Drosophila melanogaster: one gene and its partners. The protein of the gene in region 1 interacts with the protein of each later gene in a pairwise test. Each region holds a gene or a part of one and is shown in the gene's direction. Other genes may lie near its edges. The genes, in order: CG10051, CG4461 and CG2767.

Evidence for each region.
Region 2: the proteins of CG10051 (region 1) and CG4461 interact in a two-hybrid assay, tested with the Drosophila melanogaster proteins (one large-scale study listed by BioGRID).
Region 3: the proteins of CG10051 (region 1) and CG2767 interact in a two-hybrid assay, tested with the Drosophila melanogaster proteins (one large-scale study listed by BioGRID).

The regions. Positions count from the first base shown.
Region 1 is NT_033778.4:19,359,613-19,369,094, forward strand, and holds CG10051 (uncharacterized protein), read left to right. Parts: upstream 1-4,028; 5' UTR 4,029-4,114; intron 4,115-4,693; coding exon 4,694-5,379; intron 5,380-5,443; coding exon 5,444-6,375; intron 6,376-6,435; coding exon 6,436-6,620; intron 6,621-6,678; coding exon 6,679-6,822; intron 6,823-6,884; coding exon 6,885-7,087; intron 7,088-7,150; coding exon 7,151-7,601; 3' UTR 7,602-7,682; downstream 7,683-9,482. Other genes in the region: CG11961 (uncharacterized protein), read left to right, coding at 1-232, 297-657, 717-1,100, 1,155-1,335, 1,399-1,727, 1,785-1,884, 1,944-2,046, 2,109-2,301 and 2 more; CG9416 (uncharacterized protein), read right to left, coding at 7,867-8,034, 8,096-8,378, 8,436-8,647, 8,710-9,035, 9,099-9,279, 9,343-9,482.
Region 2 is NT_037436.4:9,371,572-9,378,431, forward strand, and holds CG4461 (uncharacterized protein), read left to right. Parts: upstream 1-3,858; 5' UTR 3,859-3,912; coding exon 3,913-4,515; 3' UTR 4,516-4,722; downstream 4,723-6,860. Other genes in the region: Hsp67Bc (heat shock gene 67Bc), read right to left, coding at 147-746; CG4456 (uncharacterized protein), read left to right, coding at 1,404-1,524, 1,591-1,750, 1,819-1,873; Hsp22 (heat shock protein 22), read left to right, coding at 2,680-3,204; Hsp26 (heat shock protein 26), read right to left, coding at 4,991-5,617; Hsp67Ba (heat shock gene 67Ba), read right to left, coding at 6,531-6,860.
Region 3 is NT_033777.3:8,003,108-8,011,119, reverse strand, and holds CG2767 (uncharacterized protein), read left to right. Parts: upstream 1-3,009; 5' UTR 3,010-3,152; coding exon 3,153-3,224; intron 3,225-3,607; coding exon 3,608-3,788; intron 3,789-4,155; coding exon 4,156-4,283; intron 4,284-4,343; coding exon 4,344-4,903; intron 4,904-4,971; coding exon 4,972-5,020; 3' UTR 5,021-5,196; downstream 5,197-8,012. Other genes in the region: CG10435 (uncharacterized protein), read left to right, coding at 1-11; CG3223 (uncharacterized protein), read right to left, coding at 254-942, 1,001-1,417, 1,491-1,632; CG11052 (uncharacterized protein), read left to right, coding at 2,069-2,273, 2,328-2,344, 2,459-2,568, 2,620-2,737; CG2698 (uncharacterized protein), read right to left, coding at 5,204-5,363, 5,840-5,866, 6,257-6,406, 6,473-6,882, 6,942-7,132, 7,360-7,900, 7,961-8,012.

The DNA.
Region 1 (9,482 bases):
ACAGCACTACTTATCTTCTGGTAAACAGTCACTATGATTCCGTGCCGGCGGGACCTGGTGCTGGTGATGATGGTTCCATGGTGGCCACTATGATGGAGGTACTCCGTGTGCTGGCCAAGTCCGATAAGCCACTAAAGAACCCTGTGGTATTCCTGTTCAATGGTGCCGAGGAAAATCCCCTTCAGGCCTCGCATGCCTTCATCACCCAGCACAAGTGGGCCAAATATTGCAAGTAGGTCAAATGAGTGCTTTAAATTTTGTCGAATTTATCTTATACTTTCATTTATCCTTTACAGAGCCCTTATCAATCTCGATTCCTGCGGAAATGGCGGTCGAGAGATCCTCTTCCAATCGGGACCCAATCATCCCTGGCTAATGAAGAACTACCGACGTGCCATCAAGCACCCGTATGCTTCTACAATGGGCGAGGAGCTGTTCCAGCACAATTTCATTCCCTCTGACACGGACTTCCGCATTTTCCGTGACCATGGATCGGTTCCCGGCTTGGATATGGCCTACACCTACAACGGATTTGTCTACCACACGCGACACGACAAGGCAGAGATCTTTCCCAGGGGTAGTTTCCAGCATACTGGCGATAATCTGCTTGCTTTGGTCCGACAGATTGCAAACTCTCCGGAGATTGAGAATTCAGCGGTAACATGGCTGATACAGATCTTAATGATAAATTACTAATTGCCTTTTTCTTTTTTCAGAAATACGCCAAAGGTCACACCATCTATTTCGATGTTATGGGTTGGTTTCTGGTTTTCTACACCGAAACCGAAGGCGTTATCTTGAACGTCATCGTCTCCTTGGTATCCATCGGGATTTGTGGCTACGCTTTTAAGCTGATGTCGGTCAACTCGGGCATAAAGCTCGAAAAGATCCTCAAGAAGGTGGGGCACACACTCCTCGTACAGATTCTATCTGTTGTTGTGGGAGCCATCCTGCCAGTTTTGCTCGGTCTGTTCATGGATGCGGTGCATTTGCCTCTGTCGTGGTTCTCGAACTCCTGGCTCATCCTGGGTCTCTACTTCACCACTTTCTTCTTCGGTTTGGCCATAGTGCCTGCCTTGTACTTCCACTGGACCAAGCGTGTATGTATAGTTTGGTATGATTTATTGGTTGACTAAAGCTAAATCTTTTTTCAGGATAAGCTTCCCATTGGTCAGCGGGTTCAGCTTTTGCTGCACTGCCACTGCCTACTTTTATCTGTTCTCACCCTGATCTTCACCATCTGTGGAATTCGCTCTGTTTTTGTTTTGATGCTCAGTTGCTTGTTCTATACAGTGGGCTTGATCATTAATATTGCCACCAAACTGCACACCAAAGGTGAGTTGTATTTATAAGAGTATGCTTAGTTTGATTTTTAATATGTCTTTTTATTCCCAATAGATGTCGCATGGGTCATTCCGCACATTGTTTGCACTGTGCCACCATTTGTATTCTTTGCATATTTCTCGCACGGATTCTTCACCACGTTCATTCCAATGTTTGGTCGTTTTGGAGAGAACCTTAATCCGGATTTGGCGGTGGCTGTTTTCAGTGTCGCTGTGGGCTTCCTCTGCTGCGGTTTCATTATCCCTGTTCTGCAGTTGTTCAACAAATCGAAGACCATCATCTGCGGCCTGATGGGCATCACGTTATTGTGCTTCATTATTGCAATGACACCAATTGGATTCCCCTATCGCCCAGAAACGAATGTCCAGCGTTTCGCTGTCCTGGTAAGAAACTACAAAGTTATATTGTATTGATAAGTAAAAAGGATTTCCTTTTTTTAGCACACCAAGCGTACCTTCCACGACGCTCAAAACAAAGTGCGCCGTCAGGAATCTGGTTACTTCATTATGCCCCAGGACAGACGCACTTACACCGTGAAAAGTAAGGTGGACTAATTATATTGAAAGGTTAATTCATGGAATTTTTTTTGGCCTTTTAAGATGCTGTTATCAACATGACACTGGCCCAAAGAATTGGATCCGATTGCGATAAGGAAATTAATTGCGGATTGCCCCTATATAATCAGCGTTGGCACAAGACCAGGTTAGTTTCCAACTCAAAAAGTTAGTATGAATTAGTAAACTAATACATTTGAGTCCTTATAGAAAGAACAGTTTATGGATACCCGCATCGGAACCTGTTCTTGGCGAGAATGTGCCAACCGTTTTATTGCTCTCCAAGAATACAGTGTCGCCCACCAAAATTCGCTATGAAATGCAGCTAAGTGGACCCAATCACATGGCCCTCTTTATACAGCCCTTGAACGGAGCAAAGATGATGGACTGGTCCTTCCATCAGGTAATTATTAAAGTCACATAAGTCTGAATTCAATGTTAATATCTCAACAACTACAGGCACCCTTACGTCTGAGCTTTGAGCCACCTTACTTCATCTACTTCTCGTGGGGTGTCAATGGAGATCCACTTAAATTCTGGCTAGAACTAGAGGTAGGTTATGGAAAACTCGCAAAAGTAATTTGTCTATACATATATTTTCCACATCGACCAGAAACCCAACGGAAATTGGAACTCTTCTACTCTGGAACTTGGGCTCGGAGGCCATTGGAACCATCACAAGGAACTAATAACGCCTGACTTTAAGAAGTTCCTCGACAGTTTCCCCCATTATGTGGATGCCACACCCTGGCCAGCTTCATTCGAGAGCCGGATCTTCTAGAGAAGCTATCTAATGTATACATTTTTGTACCTTCGTAAAATAAATATCGTAAGAACTTTGTTCTTGAGATATGAAAAACCATAATCATTGATAAGCGTCAGTTATATTGGGCTGTTCATTTATCAATAATTAATAATAACTAATCCCCTAAGCTATGCGGCCGATATCAAAGTGTTGCGATTGTATATCGCCAATTGAAAGTTACATAATTCCTAAACGTAGAATGTATTTTCTACATGATATGAATGTAGAAATGAGGACTGTTCTACCAAGAAGAGTGTATGTACTTTCGGTGTCCGTAAAATGAATGTCCAAAATTGGTATTAACTCGAATTTTATGGCCTCGTCGGGAAATAATCGGCCATAGATTTAGAATTTATGGTCCAGAGTTTAGCCAACTTGTGTCCCACGCAAAAATATAAATGGCGAAATCGCACATCGCCCCCAAAAAAATAGAGTATTTTTCATAATGTCCATTCACGGAAAGTGTGATGCAGACTGATTTTAGATTGCCAGATTAGGATTTGATAATTTAATATGTCCGAATGCTTATCAGCATGAATAGTTGAACATTTCCGAATGATTATCATTGAGGTAAACACAAATTTAATAAACGTGTGACCAAAATTTTCGTTTAGCCTGTAATGTTCACAGTAGTAAATCATGAGCTGTCCTATAGTACGTCCAGCTTAGACATATTTATTAGTATTTAGTCCCGCTATAAAAAAAAAACCTAAGGCAATAAGAAACAACCAGTGCCAGACAGGTATTCTTATCTGAGCCAAAAATCTAATATACAGCACCAAAAAAATGGTTTAAATTTATTTTGGGTCTGTGGGGTGGTTTACCACCAAGTCATTTAATTCATGAATTTTAATGCCACTTGTTGCATTGTCTTTAATTATTACTTAGTTATTAATGTTACCTAAATTGTACAAGAAAATGTGTTGAACTACTATTAAATGTATAATTCTATTTAATTTGTGTTCTTATCTAACTTACACGTTGTTAATTTATGTGATTCGATAACACGGTCCGTACTTCCCCAAATTAAAGAGAGCAAGCAAATCTAAATTATTTTATGTACGTTTTATGTAGATTTTTTTAGATTTTGGACCCCACCGAAAGATCTCCGCCGAACGTGAGTCCTAATCGCGTTAACAACGGTTCCATAAAAAAGTTATAAAGAGAAAATGCTTCTGGTATCGCCTATCGCTGGATGTAATCGTTTTATGCGCCGAAATCGACGATTATAATCATAATATTTAATTATTATCGCTGCCATGGACGCGATAAGAAATCTAACGCACCGGAGCTGGGCCCTACTTAATTCTTGGGAACCAGCCTGGAGCTTCTTAGTTGCCCAACGGCTGGGCCCTGGTACGGTTGTATTTCATAGTTGGTGATTCCGGTACGAGTCGCGTGTGATCTGAAGGTTAGTGCCTATATGCCTTGCCATATTTCACCAAAGTGATTGTGTTCCTTTAAAATCTAAGAATTGCTTTTGAAAATGTGATAGGCTTGCAAAAATCAATGGATTCGTTACGAAGTGATATAATATGCCGAACAAAAGAGCCTAGTTTCCTGCGCTCTCAAACGAGTATCCATAGGCGATAAGAAAGTTTATATCGGCCATAAAATAGGACCCGGTCTGGTTATCGTTTGCTGTTTTTTGGTATTTTAAATTTTGGAGACCATAAACCTAATTGCTTTGTAGGGTACTAATTTCTTTACGACCTTTCTACACTCTCCAATTGGAGCAATTTATGATAATTTCAAAACTTTTATGGCTTCCAATCGATGGAGACTTCGATTTGGCAACCACTCATATAGCATGAGATAATTGTAAATTATTCCCGATCCCTATATCGTAAAAGCGAATATCGTTTTTATTTGGGGCCAAAAAGTATGCAACGTTTTCTTACAATTTGGTTTGCATAGATTTCCCTTAAAAAGTTTTTTGTGTGGAACCTCTATTTCTTACGACCTATAACTTTCGGATTTCATATTCCAGATGTCTTTCTCAACCGTTGACATTACAGAGGAGAAGGATGGCGGCAAGTCCAGGGATAAGAAATGGCCTTGGTTCGGAGCACCCATTTACGCGGCTGCCGCCTTTGCTCTGTTCTATGCCGCCGTACTGCCCAGTTTTTACAGCTACCCAAAGATGCTGTACCAGAGTGAGGAGGCACTGCATCCGGATAAGTTTATCGGCGAGCGGGCGATGCGCCAGTTGGCCGAGTACTCGGCGATCGGCAATAAGATGAGTGGCTCCATCAACAACGAAGTGCATACGATCAATTTCCTGCTGCGAGAGATCCAGAAGATCAAGGACGAAGCCCGATTGGATCTCTATGACATTGAAGTGGACACGCAGTACTCTTCGGGTGCCTTCCATTTGTGGGGCATGACCATTTCCTACACAAATCTCTCTAATGTGGTAGTGAAAATATCGCAGAAGAGTTCAGACAACGAGAACTATCTGCTGGTCAACTCCCACTACGATTCGGAGGTCCAAACGCCGGCTGCTGGAGATGATGGCGTCATGGTGGTTGTTATGCTGGAAACCCTGCGCGTAATCTCACGCTCCGAAAGAACGCTAACCCATCCCGTGGTTTTCCTATTTAATGGAGCCGAGGAGGCTTGTATGCTGGGTTCCCACGGATTTATCACACAACACAAATGGTCCAAGAATTGCAAGTAAGTGGTGTACCGTGCAAAAGTTAAAAATCGAAATCATTCATTTCCTTTCCACCAATGTCAGAGCCTTGGTAAACCTGGATTCGACCGGAGCTGGTGGCCGTGAGGTGCTCTTCCAAACGGGACCCAATCACCCGTGGTTGGCCAAATATTATCAAGCAAGTGTGCCGCATCCATATGCTCAGACCTTAGCCGAAGAGCTGTTCCAGCATAACTTTATTCCCTCGGACACCGACTTCCGCATCTTCCGCGATTACGGAGGAGTTCCTGGCCTGGATATGGCCAGTGTGATGAATGGATATGTGTACCACACCGAGTTTGATAACTTTAAAAACGTCGAATATGGTACATACCAGTCGACCGGCGAGAACGTATTGCCCCTGATTTGGGCTCTGGCCAATGCTCCAGAATTGGATAACACCACTGCGTATGAGAAGGGACACACCGTGTACTATGATTTCTTAGGCTGGTTCATGATGACCTATACGGAATCGGTGAGCATAGCCATCAATGTGGTGGTTTCTGTGGCGGCCTTTATTTGCATTGGCACCTCGGTGTACATCATGACATTGGACAATGGTGCAGATGCTCCGAAAGCGGTGGTTTTGAGATTCGCCATCATCTTCCTGGTTCAAGCGGGAACTCTGTTCGTGGCCTGCGGCTTAACTCTCTTGGTGGCCGTTTTTATGCAAGGTGTGGGTCTAGCCGAATCCTGGTACTACGGAAAATGGATGGCCTTTGGGCTGTACTTCTGCACCTTGTTCTTCGCCTTTGGCATACTTCCGGCCACTTATATCGGATTCACGAAGAGGAAAACGAACATGAAGTTGGATCAGACCATCGCCTGCTTCATGCACGCCCAGTGCATCCTTCTTGCGCTGCTCTGTATCATCATGACCATCATGGGCATTCGCTCCAGCTACTTCCCCATGGTGGGCATCTTCTTCTACGCGATTTCCGTTCTGGTGCAAATAGTACTGAAACTCACCCTGAAGAGTGAGTATTTATCTTGAGAATATTTGTATGATATTTAAAGCATTTATTCTTTCAATTTAGAGAGCTACTTCGTCACAGTTCACCTGTTGTTCCAAGTGCTGCCCTTCTTCTTTTACACATACATCTGCTATGCGACCCTTGTCACCTTTGTTCCCATGGAGGGTCGCGATGGACCCGAAAGTAGTCCCGATATAATGATATCTGTCTTTATCATTGCAACCGCAATAAACTATGCTGGTTTTGTTGTAAGTTGATACAATCAATCAATTTTTGTTTCAAGATTTTCTAAGCATATGCTTGCAGATTCCCATTATGCACAAGTTCCGAAAGCCCAAGATTATATTCTCATCGTTTGGTGTGATCACAATTATTTTCATCATCTTGGCCTGCACATCCGCCGGTTTTCCATTTGTGAAGCAATTGGCTCCTCAGCGTTACTATGTGCTGGTAGGTTCTTAAATATATTTAACCATATATTTGTATAGCTTATCCCTTAATTTATCCTTCAGCACACACAACGAACATTCCACAATTTGGATGGTACAAGTAAGCAGGACTCGGGTTATTATATTCAACCTGTGGATACACGACTCCATGAATTGGATGACACAACTTTCAAGAACGCCGAGCCGGAAAGCTGGACGGCAGCCACCTGTGCCGCAGAACCGTACTGTGGACTTCCATTGTATAGTGGTCGCTGGATAGAATGGAAGTATGTTAGAGACCGTAACCTGACCTTAGTTGGTATCTAAACTTTTTTCTGCTTGCATCACAGAGACTCTGCTCGTTGGATCTACAGCTCGCCACCTGTGATTCCAATGAACATAAACCTTACCCAGCTGTCTAAACAATCTCTGGATGGCAACAAGGTACGATATGAGTACAACCTGAGGGCCAGCGATCGCGTTATGATGTACATAGATCCGCTTGACAATGTCAAGGTGACAGATTGGTCCTTCGATCATACACCTTTGGTGGAGAAGCACACACCTCCCTATCTGATCTATGCCATATACTCCCAAACCGAGGAGCCGCTCAACTTTTGGGTGGAGCTCGAGCACGAGGAGGGCAACACAGACGGACCCTACATGAAGCTGGTCGTATCCGAGCACTTCCAATACCATCCAGAGTACTACACCGAGGAATACAAGGAATTCCTCGCAACCTTCCCCGATTGGACATATACCACCGATTGGTTCTCGGCCCTCGAGAGCTGGATTGTTTAGGCGGCGATGAGAATATAGACTCCAAAGTTGGCGTATCTTAATAAATAATTTATAGTATATTTTAATAAAATTACAAAGTAGTAACTACAGTGTTCTAATCGTAAATACTAATACAATTTAGGACGTGCCATGCTTATCGACACTTTGTTCGTTGGATTAGGTAAAATTGGTACACTCCATCAACAGTACCAGAATTAAGAGTAGCTGAGGTGTCATGGCAAAAATGGGATTGAGTTGAGTTCGTGAAGGAACTTTGAGTCTACACTTAAAGCTGCCAACTATTGTAGGATCCCAGCCAGGAGCTAACATGCGCCCACGGCGGAAACGTGGCCAGGAACTCACGGAAATCCTCCGTAATATACATGTCATCGTGTATTCGATGACCCATTAGGGCTATTTTGAAAGTGCCTCCCGACCAATTTGGATCTTCGTGCTGGAAATAAGTAGTGAGTTAACTACCCCTCTAAAGTATAATATTTAATTAATATTATTACCTCGAATTCCAGTGAAAACTGCAAGGGTTTGGGATCTAATGCATATGACCAGTACACGTAGTATGGTGGCTTTACATTTCCATCCAGCGGATCCCTAATGAAGGACCAATCCACCAATTTGCTATCGTTTAAGGGCAGAATGAATATGCTCGTGTGATCCGGTCCTGAGATCTCAAGATCAAACCTAATATTTGTATCTGAATTACTCGATTTTTCCAAAATAGTCAGAGTGGGAATATATTCCCTATTTGGCTCGGGACCAGGAACAAAATAGCTGTTATCACTGAAAACAAATAAAACGATGAGTAAAGGTAAGTTGATTGATGTTTTTACAACTTACACTGCATTTAACCAGCGTGAGCTGTAAATGGGAAATCCGCACATGAGCTCCGAGTCACAATCAATACGTTCTGACTTTGTAAAGTTTGTGTTTTCAAAGAGAATATCATCCACGGTGTGAGGACGTCGATCGACCGGAAGGACAAAGTATCCCGAGTCCTTATGACTCACTGTGCTCGCTGGATCGCCATTGTGGAAGGTTCTTGCTGTGTGCTGTAAGAGAATAAAATACTTAGGAACTATAAAGTAAAAATCTAAAAAAATAAAGGACATACCACAGCGAAGAATCTTTGGGGCGCCGTCTTCTCGGCGTAAGGAAAGGCAATCGGTGTTGCGGCAAATATGATAAACACTATCGTGCAGATGCCAAACATTGAGATAATTGTCTTGGACTTGCGGAACAGACAGAACAAGGGCACCAGAAAGGGTGCAAATAGTAGAACCATTAGCGCCGTAAAGAAACCCATTAGAATCTCCGGATTTGTATTACACTCGCGTCCCTGCATGGGCACAAAAACCACATAGAAGGCATAGCAGCAGTAAGTATAGAACATGAATGGCAGCACCTGGCAAATGCAGTGCGGTATGAGCCACAGGAAATCTGAAAGATAATTAATAATTATTTATTAATTAATTAATTAATTATAAAGGGGATCGGTCTTACTTGTTTTGTGTGCCTTAGTTACCAAATTGATCAGCACGGACAGAGTGTAGAAGCCGATGCAGAGCATTATGACAAAGGCGGAACGAATACTATAGCTCACCATTATGGCGGTGATAATGGTCAAGATCAGGCAATGCGAATGCATCAATAGTTGAATGCCATAGCCCAGGGGTAAACCATGCTGAAAAGGATTTAGTTAAATTATGATATTTATTAAGTTACATTAACAATATCTCAAACTCACCTCTTTAGTGCGACTAAAGTAAATAGCTGGCACAATGCCCATACCAAAAATCATGGGGCAGAAGTACAAGCCGAAGAGCATCCAGTTTTGCGAAAACCAGGACATCGGTAGATTCACCGCGTCCAGGAACAGGGCTATCG
Region 2 (6,860 bases), on another chromosome or scaffold:
ACTGTTTAAAATGTAGCTAATAATAAATTAATAAATATAATACGATTTGTGCGATATTTTCTTGACTTTTTTTTTGGTGCAACGATAAACGAGAGTCTTGGGAAATCACTTGGCTGCTTAGGCTGCAATCTTTAGGAGGGGGCTCTTCACTTGGCTTCTGGCTCTGAAGCAGAAGCTGCCGGACCGGCCTCCTTATGACCGTTTCCATTCTGGAAGAGATCCGATGGACCCACATGCTTAATGGGTATGATGCGCTCCTTGAGCTCCTCCTTGGAAACTAATGGTGGAACCGTGATATTGAGAACTCCATCCTCCGACAAAGTGGAAACAATGGCATCCGAATCGAACTCCTTGGGCAGCGGATAGCGGCGAACAAAATGCCGGGATACATGTCCATGATCGTCCTCGCGCTCCTCGTGTTTTCCCTCGACCACAATGCACTCGTTGACCAGTTTGACGGTCAGTTCACCTGGCTGAAAGAGTCCCACATCCAGATGGACCTCGAAATTGCCCTGCTTATTTGAGGCTCCACCGCGGCTCAATGCAGCCAGCTCTCCGTTCCTTTTATTGGCCACCAGGTGATGGGCATGTGCACCCATCCGGGCAATCAGACCCAGGGTGTGCAAATCAAGATCATGATGCTGCCGCGAATGCAATCGCCTGTACATGCGATTCGGGAACATATCGTGGCCGTAGTACATGGAGTCCGGGGAGTCCAAATTCAAGACAAAGGGAATATCTGGCATTTTACTTTTCTTTGCTTAACTTCTTTGTGTATCTGGCGGAAGGAGGTTCGTTGAACCGACGACCTGTTTTCCTTTCAAAAAGTATCCAAGGGGTTGATTTGCCAGCGGGTGGTGGAATCCACAATCTCAGCTGCAGTTTGGCGCACAATTCACCTTGACTTTTCCGACTCGAATGTGGAGTTTAACGGTTTGTCTGCGCCCTTTTATAGAGACGGAAGAGCTTTGCCCATTGCCACAGAGCTTTTCTGGAGCAGCAACTCGTTGTTTCGTTGATTCTAGGGAGACAACTGGGAACCTTCTGGGGGCCAAGCTTTCGTAGACTGTAAACTGTTATATGTGATCCGCCATAAGGTATGTATGTATGTATAAAATGAGTGCAGATAGCAAGCTCTGTATTGGAGATCATACCATAAGATTTTAATTTCAAATTCAAAGTGAAATCGGATACAGATGAGAGGCGCAATCTCCAGTGTCAGCTGGACAAACAAGACGACACCACGATAATCAAAATGCGATAAGCAAGTACGCACATACATATGTACATACCCGAATCTTTAATCTTGAACCTCATAAATGGATCATCTGCGCCCAGCTGGCAAGTCAGTTGTTATTCAGCTGGCGAACCGGTTGAAATTCGTGCTCCGCCCCATAACTACAATGGCCACGTACGAACAGGTTAAGGATGTGCCCAACCATCCGGATGTGTATCTTATCGACGTTCGACGGAAGGAAGAGCTCCAGCAGACGGGCTTCATTCCAGCCAGCATCAATATACCCTGTAATAAACTACTTTCCCTAGTATTTGCTTTATTACTATGTGTTTTATTACTATTTATTTACTTAGTGGATGAACTGGACAAGGCTCTAAATCTGGATGGATCTGCTTTTAAAAACAAGTACGGAAGATCGAAGCCGGAGAAGCAGTCGCCAATCATATTCACCTGCCGGTCGGGAAATCGAGTCTTGGAAGCAGAGAAAATTGCCAAAAGTCAGGGATACAGCAAGTGAGTTTTAAAATTGTATTATAGTTGCAATAGTTTATATCGGATACATATATGTATGCTCATTTTAGTGTGGTGATCTACAAAGGCTCCTGGAATGAATGGGCTCAAAAGGAGGGACTTTGACGATAAACGTCGCTATATTTCTGAATAAATGAAGATTAATATTAATTAATTAATTAATTATTAATAGCTAAAAAAAACAGAAAACTTTAATTATTTGTTAATATTAAGCTGTATTTTTCATATATCTCAAGTTCTTGACTACACCCATGGCAAGCTTATCAATACACACACGTATACACTCGCACTCAGAAAGCTGTGCACTCCCACAAAACTTTCTCTCTCCCACTCTCTAATGGAGCTCTCTCAATCTGTCTCTCTGCGTATGGAAACTGACCTTCCCCAAGGCGCAACAGCGAGAGAGAACTTCGCTAAATGCTAAAATAAAAGGTAAATAAAGTAATATTTGGACACCCAGAGAGCCCCAGAAACTTCCACGGAGTTCGCTAAAGAACAGTGAACAACCCCTAACTAAATGCCATTGCCCGATTTCAGGCAAAGTGGAAAATTGCATCAGCAAAGGGCGAAGAAAATTCGAGAGAGTGCCGGTATTTTCTAGATTATATGGATTTCCTCTCTGCCAAGAGTATAAATAGCCACCGGTTGGACACTGCGCTCTCAGTTCAAAAAAACCAAACCAACTGCTAACAACTCGAAGAAAGTCAACTAAATTAAAATTTCGCCAGCTAAATAGAAATTTCATAGGATTGAAACTTCAGACAACAAGATTATCTTCGAAACATAGAGGAAAAATTTAAAAAAAAGCCAAGAAGTATTTCAAAGACAACAATTGGACGGAATTTCATCAAATTATTCGAATTTGCATAAGAAGCTTTTGTTGGAAAAACCAAGTTACCTTATTAACTACAATGCGTTCCTTACCGATGTTTTGGCGCATGGCCGAGGAGATGGCACGGATGCCACGCCTCTCCTCGCCCTTTCACGCCTTCTTCCACGAGCCGCCCGTTTGGAGTGTGGCGCTACCGAGGAACTGGCAGCAGATTGCCCGCTGGCAGGAGCAGGAGTTCGCTCCGCCGGCCACCGTCAACAAGGATGGCTACAAACTCACCCTGGACGTCAAGGACTACAGCGAGCTAAAGGTCAAGGTGCTGGACGAGAGCGTTGTCCTGGTGGAGGGAAAATCAGAGCAGCAGGAGGCCGAACAAGGTGGCTATAGCTCCAGGCACTTCCTCCGCCGCTTCGTCCTGCCGGAAGGATACGAGGCGGACAAGGTGACCTCAACGCTGAGCAGCGACGGCGTCCTGACCATCAGTGTGCCCAATCCTCCAGGCGTGCAGGAGACACTCAAGGAGCGTGAGGTGACCATCGAGCAGACTGGCGAGCCGGCAAAGAAGTCCGCCGAGGAGCCAAATGACAAAGCCGCCAGTCAGTAGAAATAAGTTAAGATTATACTAAAACCGATAAAATGCTAGTGAACTCCTATGTTTAGATATTCCAAAACCTATCAAATTTAAGTTCTTGTTAAATTAACAAGTTAATTTTAAAACAATTGTGATTCGGTAGCCCGCAAGCCCAATATTTTTATGTAGAAGAAAATAAATATTCGAAAAGACTATATGATCAAAATATTTCTTTCACTGGGAACACATTTGATATGGATAGTATTATAGATTATTATATATAATTTATATGTATCTGTCAAGTCATGAAAATGGATCCATTCGAAGATCTAATGATTGCCTTAGATGGAGATACAATTTAAAAGCCCCAAAAATACTTTCCATTTTGTTTGCATTCGTCTGACACCTTGGTCATGTAGCATCTTTTTCCGCTTCCTTCGATGATTCTAGTGACGTAGCCACTTGACGCGGGTCCAACTGGCCGTTTATATTGTCGTGTGCACCTCGTTGGCCTCGCCTTCACCGCTGCACTTGGCCGATCCGATCCGATTCGTTTCGATCCCATCCGATGCGCCTCGTCCGGATGACTCATCTATCGTCTCCGCCATCATCCGCCATCCGCAATCCGCATCCGGCGAGGCCAGTCGGCCATCTATAAAAGAACTGACGGCGGCGGCGACAAATTTTATAAGATTTTCGGACTCGTACATAAGCGAATCGCTGCCCTAATCCCGGCGAGAAATGTCTCTGGTGCCTACCACATATCGCGATTTGTCGCGCGAATTTGATCGACTCCGTCCGCTCTACCATCCGCCGTATGATTTCCAGCTATATCCGTATCTGTGGGACGATTCGCGTCTCTGGTGGCCATCGCCTCACACCAGCAGAAGTGACCTACTCCGACCTCTGGATGAGCTGGTGTCGCGTCGAGTGCGCAACCAGTTGATCCAATCGACGCCGTATGAGTGGGCGCATCCAATGAGGTGGGACAACTACTATTCCGGTGAGCGTGTCCATGTGGATGAGAAGGGATTTCGGATTGACATCGATGTGCGACAATTTCATCCCCACGACATTGTGGTCAAAACCAATGACGACTATGTCATCGTCCAGGGAAATCACAATCGTCGCGACGAGGGTTCCAATGGCCTGGTGGAGCGGCACTTTGTGAGGAAGTACCTTCTGCCCCGCGGATACAATGCCAATGAGGTAATCTCGGACATATCCAGCGATGGCATCCTCACCATCAAGGCTCCACCACCGCCGCCAGCCAAGTACTACACGCCCGGAGAGAGATTGGTCCGCGTTCATGAAACCGGAAAGCTGGCCCTGCCCTGGAAATAGTGGACCATGTGTCAAAAATCAGGAAGGCAAACAGTGAATGTGTTTTTACCAAACCCAAATCCCAACCATCGAATGCGCCTAACTCAAGGTGAACTATTTTCGGACACCAAGCAATTGCAGCCGAACATTTAAATTGGATTCAAACATAAATAAAATACAAATTGTACCCGTAGTTGATATAATAAATGCGCAATAAATATTTGGTAGAAACACTGGTGTTTACGAATGGGTCTTCACCTCGTCGCGCCCAATTCAAATCTTCAAATCGATATTTCCAAATATTTGCCTCTTTCAAAAACCAACTTTCATATACAAAAGTCACAACAATTTTAATTTTCCACACCAGGTGAACAAAAGGATTTATTAAATTAATATGAGTATTCTAGTCTTTAGCTCATTACAAATACAATGCAATAAATTAGGAACAATTAAGTAGGGGAATGATGATGGATGATGTTGGATGATGATGGCTCCTTTACTTGTCCTTGCCGTTGGGTGCTCCGTTCTCCTTGCCCTTCACCTCGCTTTCATTTGCCTTAACGTTGAGGTGAGCGGGTCCCACTTGCTGAATTTGAATGATGCGCTCCTTGGACTTGTCCTCGACGGCCTGCGGCTTGGGAATACTGACGGTGAGCACGCCATCCGACGACAGCTGCGAGACCACTTGCTCCGCCTTGTAGCCATCGGGAACCTTGTAGCGGCGCACAAAGTGGCGCATGATGTGACCATGGTCGTCCTGGCGTTCCTCATGCTTGCCCTCGACCAAGATGGAGTCGTCCACCACCTTCACGTTGAGCTCACTGGGCTTGAACTGGGCGACGTCCATGCACACCTGGAATCCATCCTTGCCCACATGGGCGGTTGCCGGCCAGTGAATGTCGTTGCGGTTGGCCATCTCGCGCCGCAAAGCCAAAACCTGGCCGGCGGGCGACGATGGGCATATCGGCGATGCGCAAGGGCATCCGTTGATGGAACGGCGCTGCTGAGTGCCAAGGGGCAGCACGTAGCGGGAATGCGGATGCAATCCCAGTCCAAGCTCGTAGATGGGGCTGCGGGGCTCCTGGAGTTCATCCACAAGCGAAAGCAGAGTAGATAGCGACATTTTTACGTTTCCTTTAGGTTATGTTCCTTTTGCGAGATTGAAATATTTTTTCTTTGGTTAAGTTGAATGAACTTGTTTGACTTGTAAGCAAAGGTTTTTAATCCTTTTTTTTCTCGTTTGAAGTTTTGCTTTTGCGCAAAGTTGCTTTGAGTTGTTCACTGCTCGATTTTTGAATTCGATCTGTGCTCTGTTCGTCAAGCGACGCTGCTTTTATACCCGCTGGAGCTTTTCTAGAAGAGTCCGGAAAGTGACAGAAAAAGGAAAGAGTAGAGAGAGAGAAGAGAAGAGAGAGAACGTGCACAGAGAGAAAAAATTATGAATATAGCTTTGTATCGTTTGATAAACGAGGGATCAAATTAGAAATTTCTTTTATAAAAGTCTAAATTGAATGCTGCTCTAAAAACAAAAAATAAAACTAACTAACCTTTCCCAATAAATGCCATGAGTTTCGAGAAATTTTAAATGTAGTTGTTGTCGTACGCGCAAAAGCAGAGCTAGTGCGCCTGTATGAGTGAGAGAGCCGAAGTTTCTAGAGAGTTGTTGCAATTTTCTAGAAAGAGCGCAAAAGAAACAGCCGGCTAACGGCAAACAAAACAAAACGTCAGTTTTTTTTATTCTGGTTTTCCTCTTTATTAAGTACATTATTTCGTGTTTCTGTCTTTAAGTTTTACTGGAATACTTGTAGTTGTTGTCACATATGTTTTTTAGAAAATCATACATACATATAACGCCAGCAATCTCCCACTATTAGTAATTGAGTGCTTTTCCCGTCAGCTTTCTCGCTTCTTTTTTTTTGTGTGAAATGCAAGAAAAGAAAACACAAGAAACACGTATGGAATAAAACGCACGCCTACCCGTGCAGATTATTATTTGTTCTTAATTACTATTTATGTTCTTTCTTTTAGTTCAGTCTTCACTTGGCCAGTTCCTCGGTTTTGGCTGCAGTGGCTCCATTTTCGCCTTGGTTTTTGGCCAGTAGAATGGCCGCATCTACGGCTGCCAGTTCCTCGCCGCCCTTCTCCTCCACTTTCTCTACTTTATCAACCTTCTCCGCCTGCTCCTCTTTGCTGTCTTCCGTGGAGATTTCCGGTTTCTTGGCCAGCGGCATTTCCACATCCTCGGCTGCTGCGACTGCTCCATTGCCGTTATTCGAGGCAACGGGCACTTCGTTGGCATTTGCATCCTCTGCCTTTTGCTCCTCTTCGATGCTTATAACGGGATTGGGTGTGGGTTCATCCACATT
Region 3 (8,012 bases), on another chromosome or scaffold:
TAATCAACTAGTATAATTTAGTGGAAACCTTTTGTACGGCCGGCTTTTACCCCCATGCCCAAACTCCGCAATCCCACCCCAATTAGCTTACAAAGATGACTCCTCTAAACGTATATTTAATTATTAAAAGTTATTAAGAGATATTCCTTGCTTAAGTTGGGAGTTTAATGCTTCAGAATCCTCAGCAGCAGAATAAATATAAGTCCGTAAAGTAAGCACATTATGTTGGCTTTTTAGTCAATTCCGATCCTTATTAATTCATGCTCAGCATAAGCAGATTAATAGCGTGTTCCACATTCCCATCGGAAAGTTCTAGATAACTAACGTTCTGAGTGTGATTAATGAAGCCCATGGCGGCCATGGTACGCAGTTGTTCGGTGAACCGATGGCGACGGTAGCGGCGTGGCAGCACATCACTGTCGTCTCCACCATCGTCCTCGTCATCTACATCATCGGCTGGTGCTGTGGCGGCTTGCTCTGGTACTGGTCCTTCTCCGGACTCCACCTCCATGTTCTCCACAGGCGCCGGTTGATCCTGCGACAGGGACTGAAAAGCGCGGGCCAGCTCGTTGCGGAGCAACTCTGAGGATATGGATCCGCTGCTGATGGCTCCACTGCTGCTTCCTGCGCCTGTTCCCGCTGCTCCTCCAACGCCTGCTAATGGCGCCGAGGTGGTTCTAGGTCTTTCATCACCCTGCACGGCCTCGTCCGCGTTTCTCTGCGCAATATTCGACAGTGAATTAAACGGGGTCACGTTAGCCAATGCGTTAGCCAGTTGCTGGCGGCTAATCTGACGGATGTTGGCCATCTCATCACGCCGATTGGCGGCCGCGGCAGCTGCCACGGCTGTGCTGCTGCTTCCACCACTGCTGCTGCTGCCTGCACCCAGAGAGTTTTCCTCCTCTGACGAAGTAGTAGACTCCGAAGCAGCTTGCTCCTGCACTAAAAAGGAAGAAACGGGTAAAATATACAAATCAAGAATAGATACGGCATTAGTTACACTGCGTGGCCGAGCTATTTCTGGCTAGCTCCTTGCGAATGGTGTCCACTATGAATGGAGCGGCCTCGCAGATGAGGGGATAATCTTTAACGAGATTTTGGACCACTTCCGGCTCGTGCAGCATGTTGAACAGTACGGAGTCGCGAATAAGGGCCTGGGCGCCCAGATTTCGCCTAAATTCCGGATACTCAGCGAGTATCTTCTGCAGAATGTTGAACCGCGAGGTAACGCTGATTTGCAGGTGCGAGGTCAACGAAAACAGCTCTTGAATATGCTTCGTGTTGATTTCGGCGGCGGCTGGCGGCACATACGGCGAGTAACGTTTAATCTTCTGAAAGCAGTGGATCACGGCGTTGGGCTGCAGCGTTCGGTTGAGGGTGTCTGCGTCCTCCAGCACGCGTCCGTGGTGGATGATCTCTGCAAGTGCGCAGCAAATGACTTGACACAATAGAGACAATGGACAGCGATTTGAATCCCGAGGGTCACTCACCCAACTCGCTGGCGTCGAATTGCAAGTGCATCTCTTTGGTCACCACCGCCTTTAGGTAGGCCACATCCCGCGTCAGATCGATGTTGTGTAGGGGATGCACATCGCTCAGCTTGTTCTTCAGAAGCGCGTACACGGTATGCATAGTGCGTTGATGTAGAATCTGCGTAATATTTGTAATTCACTATTTTGTCTGGGTGATTTTGTTTTGTTCAAAGACAGTTCGGAACTGGTTCCAACGAACCGCCTTGAACACAGGGTGACCCTTACATGCCCCGATAGCCCGAACCAGACTGATCGGGTCGACCGACGATTTAAAAAAGGCTAAAAAAGCTAGATCTAAAAATACCGCTCTAGGATTGCTGTCGAATTTTCAACATAAGTGTTCATTTGTTGACAATAAGAAAACGTAACTTTTGCTATTGTTTTTGTTTTACCTTGTTCAAGTCATTTCATTTAAAATGTACTGTTTTTAAAGCCATTGAAATTCAAGGTGACCCAAAATAAAACCCTCAATCCCTATCGACCTATCGATTTTTGACAGTTTCCGCTCCAAATATGTTAAATATACGAGTTGTAAAATGACCTCCCAAGAAACGCAGACTGAGGGTGAACGTAGGAGGGTAACTCTTCCATCTTCGACACCAGATAAAGGTACACCATCCAAAAAAGGCAGCGAGGAGCCCAACCGAATTTCGAACACAGAGTTCCAAAAAAGAGTAACATCGGACAGAAGCGATGAGCCGGTCTTCAGCTGCCAATTCGAAGTGTTCGGCATTGTGCAAGGTAGGGTATTCACAAATCGTATAGTCGCAATAATTAGTTATCTGGCACCAACAGGCGTTTCATTTCGAATGGTAAGAGCTTGCTGGGAAATGGGATCTTCAAAACCCCTTTGAGCTATGGATTTTCTGCTACCTCTTATTGTATATGTGAAATCTCTTTACTGTAATCCAATTACCATGTTTTAGTACACCTTGCGAAGAGCTCAAAAGCTGGGAGTCCGGGGTTGGTGCAAAAACACCAACGAGAATACGGTGAAGGGCGAAATTCAAGCACACCGACATTCCTTTGAGTCCATGTGAGTGATTTTTTCCATTCAACGTTTAATTATCAAGCCGTTCTTTTACAGGCGCCTCTGGCTAAAGCACACCGGCAGCCCCACCAGTCGAATTGACAAATGCATTTTCAGTGAGACTACAGAACTTTCAGAATTCACGTTCACTAACTTCTCCATAGTGGTGGATTAGTTGTTCTCTAAAAGCTTAAAATCATTTAGAAACGGAATTGAATTTTTCTTACACACACTTATACAGTATTTGGATATGAGCTACAAATTTTTCTATTGTTATAATATTAAATCTAACTAAAATGCAAATAAATTAGTCCGATATTTTATAGTAAACGAGCCTTAAACCATTTATGGTAAGTACATTTATTTTTAAATTCGATTGTTTTGTTAAACAAATATCGACTAGTAAGACCGCGCTTTGCAAAAGGCAGAATCTCATTGGATTGGGTGAGATAAGTGGGCCGGTGACTGGGTCGTAGCTTCTTGTTTAATTTCAATTCAATCCTCGAAGCAACAGGTTGTGCCGCATCTTTTCCATTTAATCTGTTACTCAAGTCTGTTTTAGTGTACAAGTTATCAAAAATCAATACAAAATGGTCAACACCAAGTTCTTAACGTTCAACAATGGAGAGAAGATGCCCGTGATTGGCATCGGCACCTGGCAGGTATTTATAATCACGTTAATTCTGTAATTTCATAGATTGCTTGTAAGTGGTTAAATGGATAGTAGATATTCGAATCTTAATACTATTGTTTCAACTTATTAATGACCTCAACAAATCGCTGACACGTCATTTAAATCTCTTGAAATTCCGATTCCGATGCAATCAACAATTTGGTTGGTGCTGGGGGACTTTAGACCGGTTTTCAAAAACAAACAATAAACCACCATTCATATCCACTGGTGGACTGGACTTTCTCTGGTCACGGGAGAATAAATATCGTTGTAAATCGAGTTTGAAGATTTTCGGGTAGTGTAGATTATGCAAATCCTATAATCAATATATATACAATACCACTAAACCGCACTTTCATCACCACAATGCAGGCATCTGATGAGGAAATCGAAACCGCCATCGATGCGGCTTTGGAAGCTGGGTATCGCCACATAGATACGGCGCCAGTCTACGGCAATGAGAAGGCCATCGGAAGAGTCCTAAAGCGTTGGCTGGACGCCGGCAAGGTCAAGCGGGAGGAGCTGTTCATTGTGACCAAGGTGCCACCCGTTTGTAAGTAGCATTTAGTAGTTGGATGGTATTTCAAAATGCCATATAAACATTTATAAATAGTTCCTATGTTCTATGCCCACAGAATCTTAAGATCCATAGAAACCAAAGCATTTTACACCAGCTACCAATATTCTTTTTGATATCTAGTTGATAAAATAAGACTAGGAACGTGATTTTAAAACACCAACATAGACTCCTTCAGTGTTCATAATTTCAATTTAAAAACATTTTTATTATCACCACATGACTCTTTGATATGATAAATGAACCTGATGTGAATGACTATAAATATAGCTGTGAGAGTTTTCACTATTACGAGTCCAGTTATTTCAAAAATAATATAATAATAATATAATCCTTGTTTTAGCCAACCGCCCCCACGAAGTTGAGCCAACCATCAAAAAGTCACTGGAAGATCTGCAACTGGACTATGTGGACTTATATTTGGTGCACACTCCCTTCACAATTAATATCAACGAGGACGGAAGCTTTAAGGTAGTTGTGCTACGGAATCTAATCCCAACTCCTATACACATCTCGAGCATTAACTTTCAGCTCGACAAGGAGGGCCTAATGGAGGTCGACGTTACCACGAACCACGCAGCCATCTGGGTTGCTATGGAGGCCCTGGTGGAGAAGGGTCTCACCAAGTCCATTGGGGTATCCAACTTCAGCAAGGATCAGGTGGCCCGTCTGTTGAAGAACTGCAAGATCCGGCCGGCCAACAACCAGATTGAGCACCACGTTTATTTGCAGCAGCGAGATCTGGTCGACTTCTGCAAGTCCGAAAACATTACCGTAACTGCCTACTCCCCGTTGGGATCCAAGGGAATCGCCAAGTTTAATGCTGGAGCGGGCATCGTGAGAGATCTGCCGGACCTGATGGACATCCCTGAGGTGAAGGAGATTGCCGCAAGCCATGGCAAGACGCCAGCGCAGGTCCTCCTCCGCTGGATTATCGACACTGGTGTATCCGCCATTCCCAAGAGCACGAATCCCGCTCGCCTTAAACAGAATCTGGACGTCTTCGATTTCGAACTGACGGCCGAGGAGGTGGCCAAGTTGTCTAGCCTGGACCAGAATATTCGAATCTGTGACTTTGCATTCTTCCATGGGTATAAAAATATGACTTAGCTTTAATCCCTCTATTTTATTTATTTATTTATTTTTATTTTGTTTACAGTGTGGAAAGGCATCCTGAGTTTACCTTCAAGAATCAGTACACGAACTAAACGGCATAGCTATATAAAAAGAATTCAAATGAACGCAGTAAATTCTTTTCCAAAACATTACTTTGTGTCGAAAGTATAGAAAAGCAACCATTTATTTTGTAACAGTTATAAAAAAAGTAATTACTCGCAATTCGGTCATTATACACAGATAAAATGTAGTTATGATATTTATATACAAATTCTTTACTGGTTTTCTTTGGTATTCAACAGTTGAAATGTCTTGGTTTTCGTTACGATTTTCAGCTCAACAGGTTTTCCCTCTATGACAGACTTTCCATCCGTGTTATCGTTCGTTTTTATTATACTGTCGTTAACAGTTTCGTTGACCCTTCGAGGAATCGAGCTGGAAAACCACTTTCAAATTCAAAAAAGCTTGCATTCAGCGGTAGTTAGTTAGTACAGAAATATATTTGCAAGACATTTTGTATCTAAGTTTAAACACATCACAATTTTACATTAAGCAATTAGTAGCGAGCACGATATCGGTACTTGAAGGCTTTGGAAATGTTTCGCGACTACAAATAATTCGAGGTACATTTTGTATGTAAGAACACTAAGATCGATAGAATAGATATTAAGGAGCGCTTGCTGCATAGACGGAATATTGAATAATATCATAAAAATCAATGTTCGCAAAGCGGTAAGATTAGCAACTGAGAAACGAACAACAATAGTTAAAGGAAGCTCCAGCCTATGTCTAGGTTATGATATTCGGGCCAATCTCATTTTGATTGTCAGGTATTTGGCCACACAGCTTATGTTAGTTCGCAGTTCGAGTATTAAAAGGAAATTCGTAGTTTCTGGTCCATGCCAACTCACGTGGTCCGCTCCTCGTCCGTACTGTTCCTGAAATTCAGCAAAGGATTTTCATTAAATTAAGATATAACAAGGAAGAAGTAAGTAGCTTCGGCAAGCCGGAGCTTATATACCCTTGCAGTATTTATATACTCTTACTCTTGACGGCGGTATAATAAAATATTCTTTTCTGGACCGTTTCTGCATTGAAAGAAAACTTTTGGAAATTTTTCCTTGACGGACAGACGGACATGGCTAGTGAATCCCTGCATTGTAGACTTCTTACTAAAATCCTCTGCAATGGTATAAAAGATTTTAAATCTAAATAAGCATGCCAGCAAATAACTCACTTTAATCCCTGCCGCACAAGTCTGATGTGGTTCATACTTTGCATGCAAATTAAACAAATTCATCGAATTTGGCTTGGGAAAGTCTAATTACCTGGGCTCTTGATGACTGCGCATGGCCAGCGTGGCCACCTCAAAAAGGCCGATGAAGAAGCAAAGCATAAGGGGTCCGAAAATAGCTCCTTGCCAACCGATCCAATACATTCCGCCTGCTATGGCCAGGCCGTTGAGGTAGGGATGTCCACTGACAAATGTTAGCAAAATGATGAGATATTAAATTCCATTTATCCCACCAAAAAAGTGTACTTACCCTTTGAGGTCCGCATATATAGCAGTTTCAAAAGATGATGGCACGAAAAACTGAAGCAGGAACAATATAAGTCCTGCATAGAAGCGGTCCTGGGCCAGCCAAAGCTCTAGAAAGGCTGGCACCGCACACCAGTAACTGCCTAGGAAAGGAGCAGCAGCCAACATAGCTGCCAAGGCGGACGGCAGGAACACAATCCGGGCCCCGAAAACCGTATGGACTAACCAGGTGAACAGACCCGTAAAGGTGGAGCACCTAAACATTGAGACTAGGACTACGGTAATGGAGTTTTCCAGGGCATCGGCGATTTTGATACCCGAGCTGGAATAGCCCAGGTATTTTGTGATCTGCAGGGGCGCGTACTTCTCCTGACTGCTCGAGAGCAGGTAGAACAGAGCCGTAAAGAATACAATCTAAAGAAAGTGTGATTAAGTAATTAGTATTGATTAAAAGCCTATTTATATACACTTACCATATCTAGAATAAACTCAATGCACGCTTGTCCACCCGAAAGCACAAGGGATAGAATCTCCCCGGTCACGCCCATTATCATGGACATGTTGGTCCGGATGATGTGCCACAACGACTCTGCAACCTCGAGGATCGTCTGCGTATTGCTCTGCGCCCAGCCGATAATGCCCTGTTTTGCCACTAAAACTAGCTCTTTAAAATGTCCTTGGTTAAATAAACGGCCATCGGTTAGCAGATGCACACAGTATGAGTTATTTCATAGACGCAAACGAGTGTTACGGGATGGATGATGGGAGCAAGTACTTAACGAAAGCCCGGACACCCATGCGGAAACCCCGAAAAAGAACTCAAAAAATGTATTAATAAAACGGGAGGAAAGAAAATTGAAAGAAGCCATAGGGAGTGGAACTTATGCTTACCTGGATTGTCGACGATTTCGCCAAATGTGCTTTTCAGGGCATCCGTTGGTACCCGCGGCCCGTACGATGAACCGGCCTTATTGAAATCGATCCAATACTGGATGAGCCGGTCCCACACTTCGAGGATCTGCTCCTTCAACTTGGTGGCGTGCACCTTATCGGCGTCTGCCAGCCAGTCGTCTATGTAGGTTTCAATCTTACGGCGACCATAATGGTGTGCGTTATCAAGAGCATCCTCGATGGACGATTGCATGTTGGCAGGCAAGATGTCAATTAGCTCAGGCCGATCTGTGATCGTCTTGTTAATTAAATCCTTGCCCAGGTAAGCCACCTCAATCGTCTCCGAGTAAATGTTCACGCAGAAGAACACGCTTAGAAACACGATGATAAGCAGCATGAGGATGATCATTAGGATGGAGGTGACTGATTCAACGGAGGCCTTTAGTGAATCCCGCACGATAGTGTTGATTTTATAGTTTAGTTCCAGGACACCAGGTAGACAGAGTGGCAGCACGGCAGAATGGTGTTCGATTGCCCAGAACTGCAAACATAAATATAAAAAATGTAAATTCATAATATACGAATTTTATGTCTAACTCACACGCAGCGCTGCGTAAACTTCGCTAATTTTGTTGCAAACAAATTTAGTAATT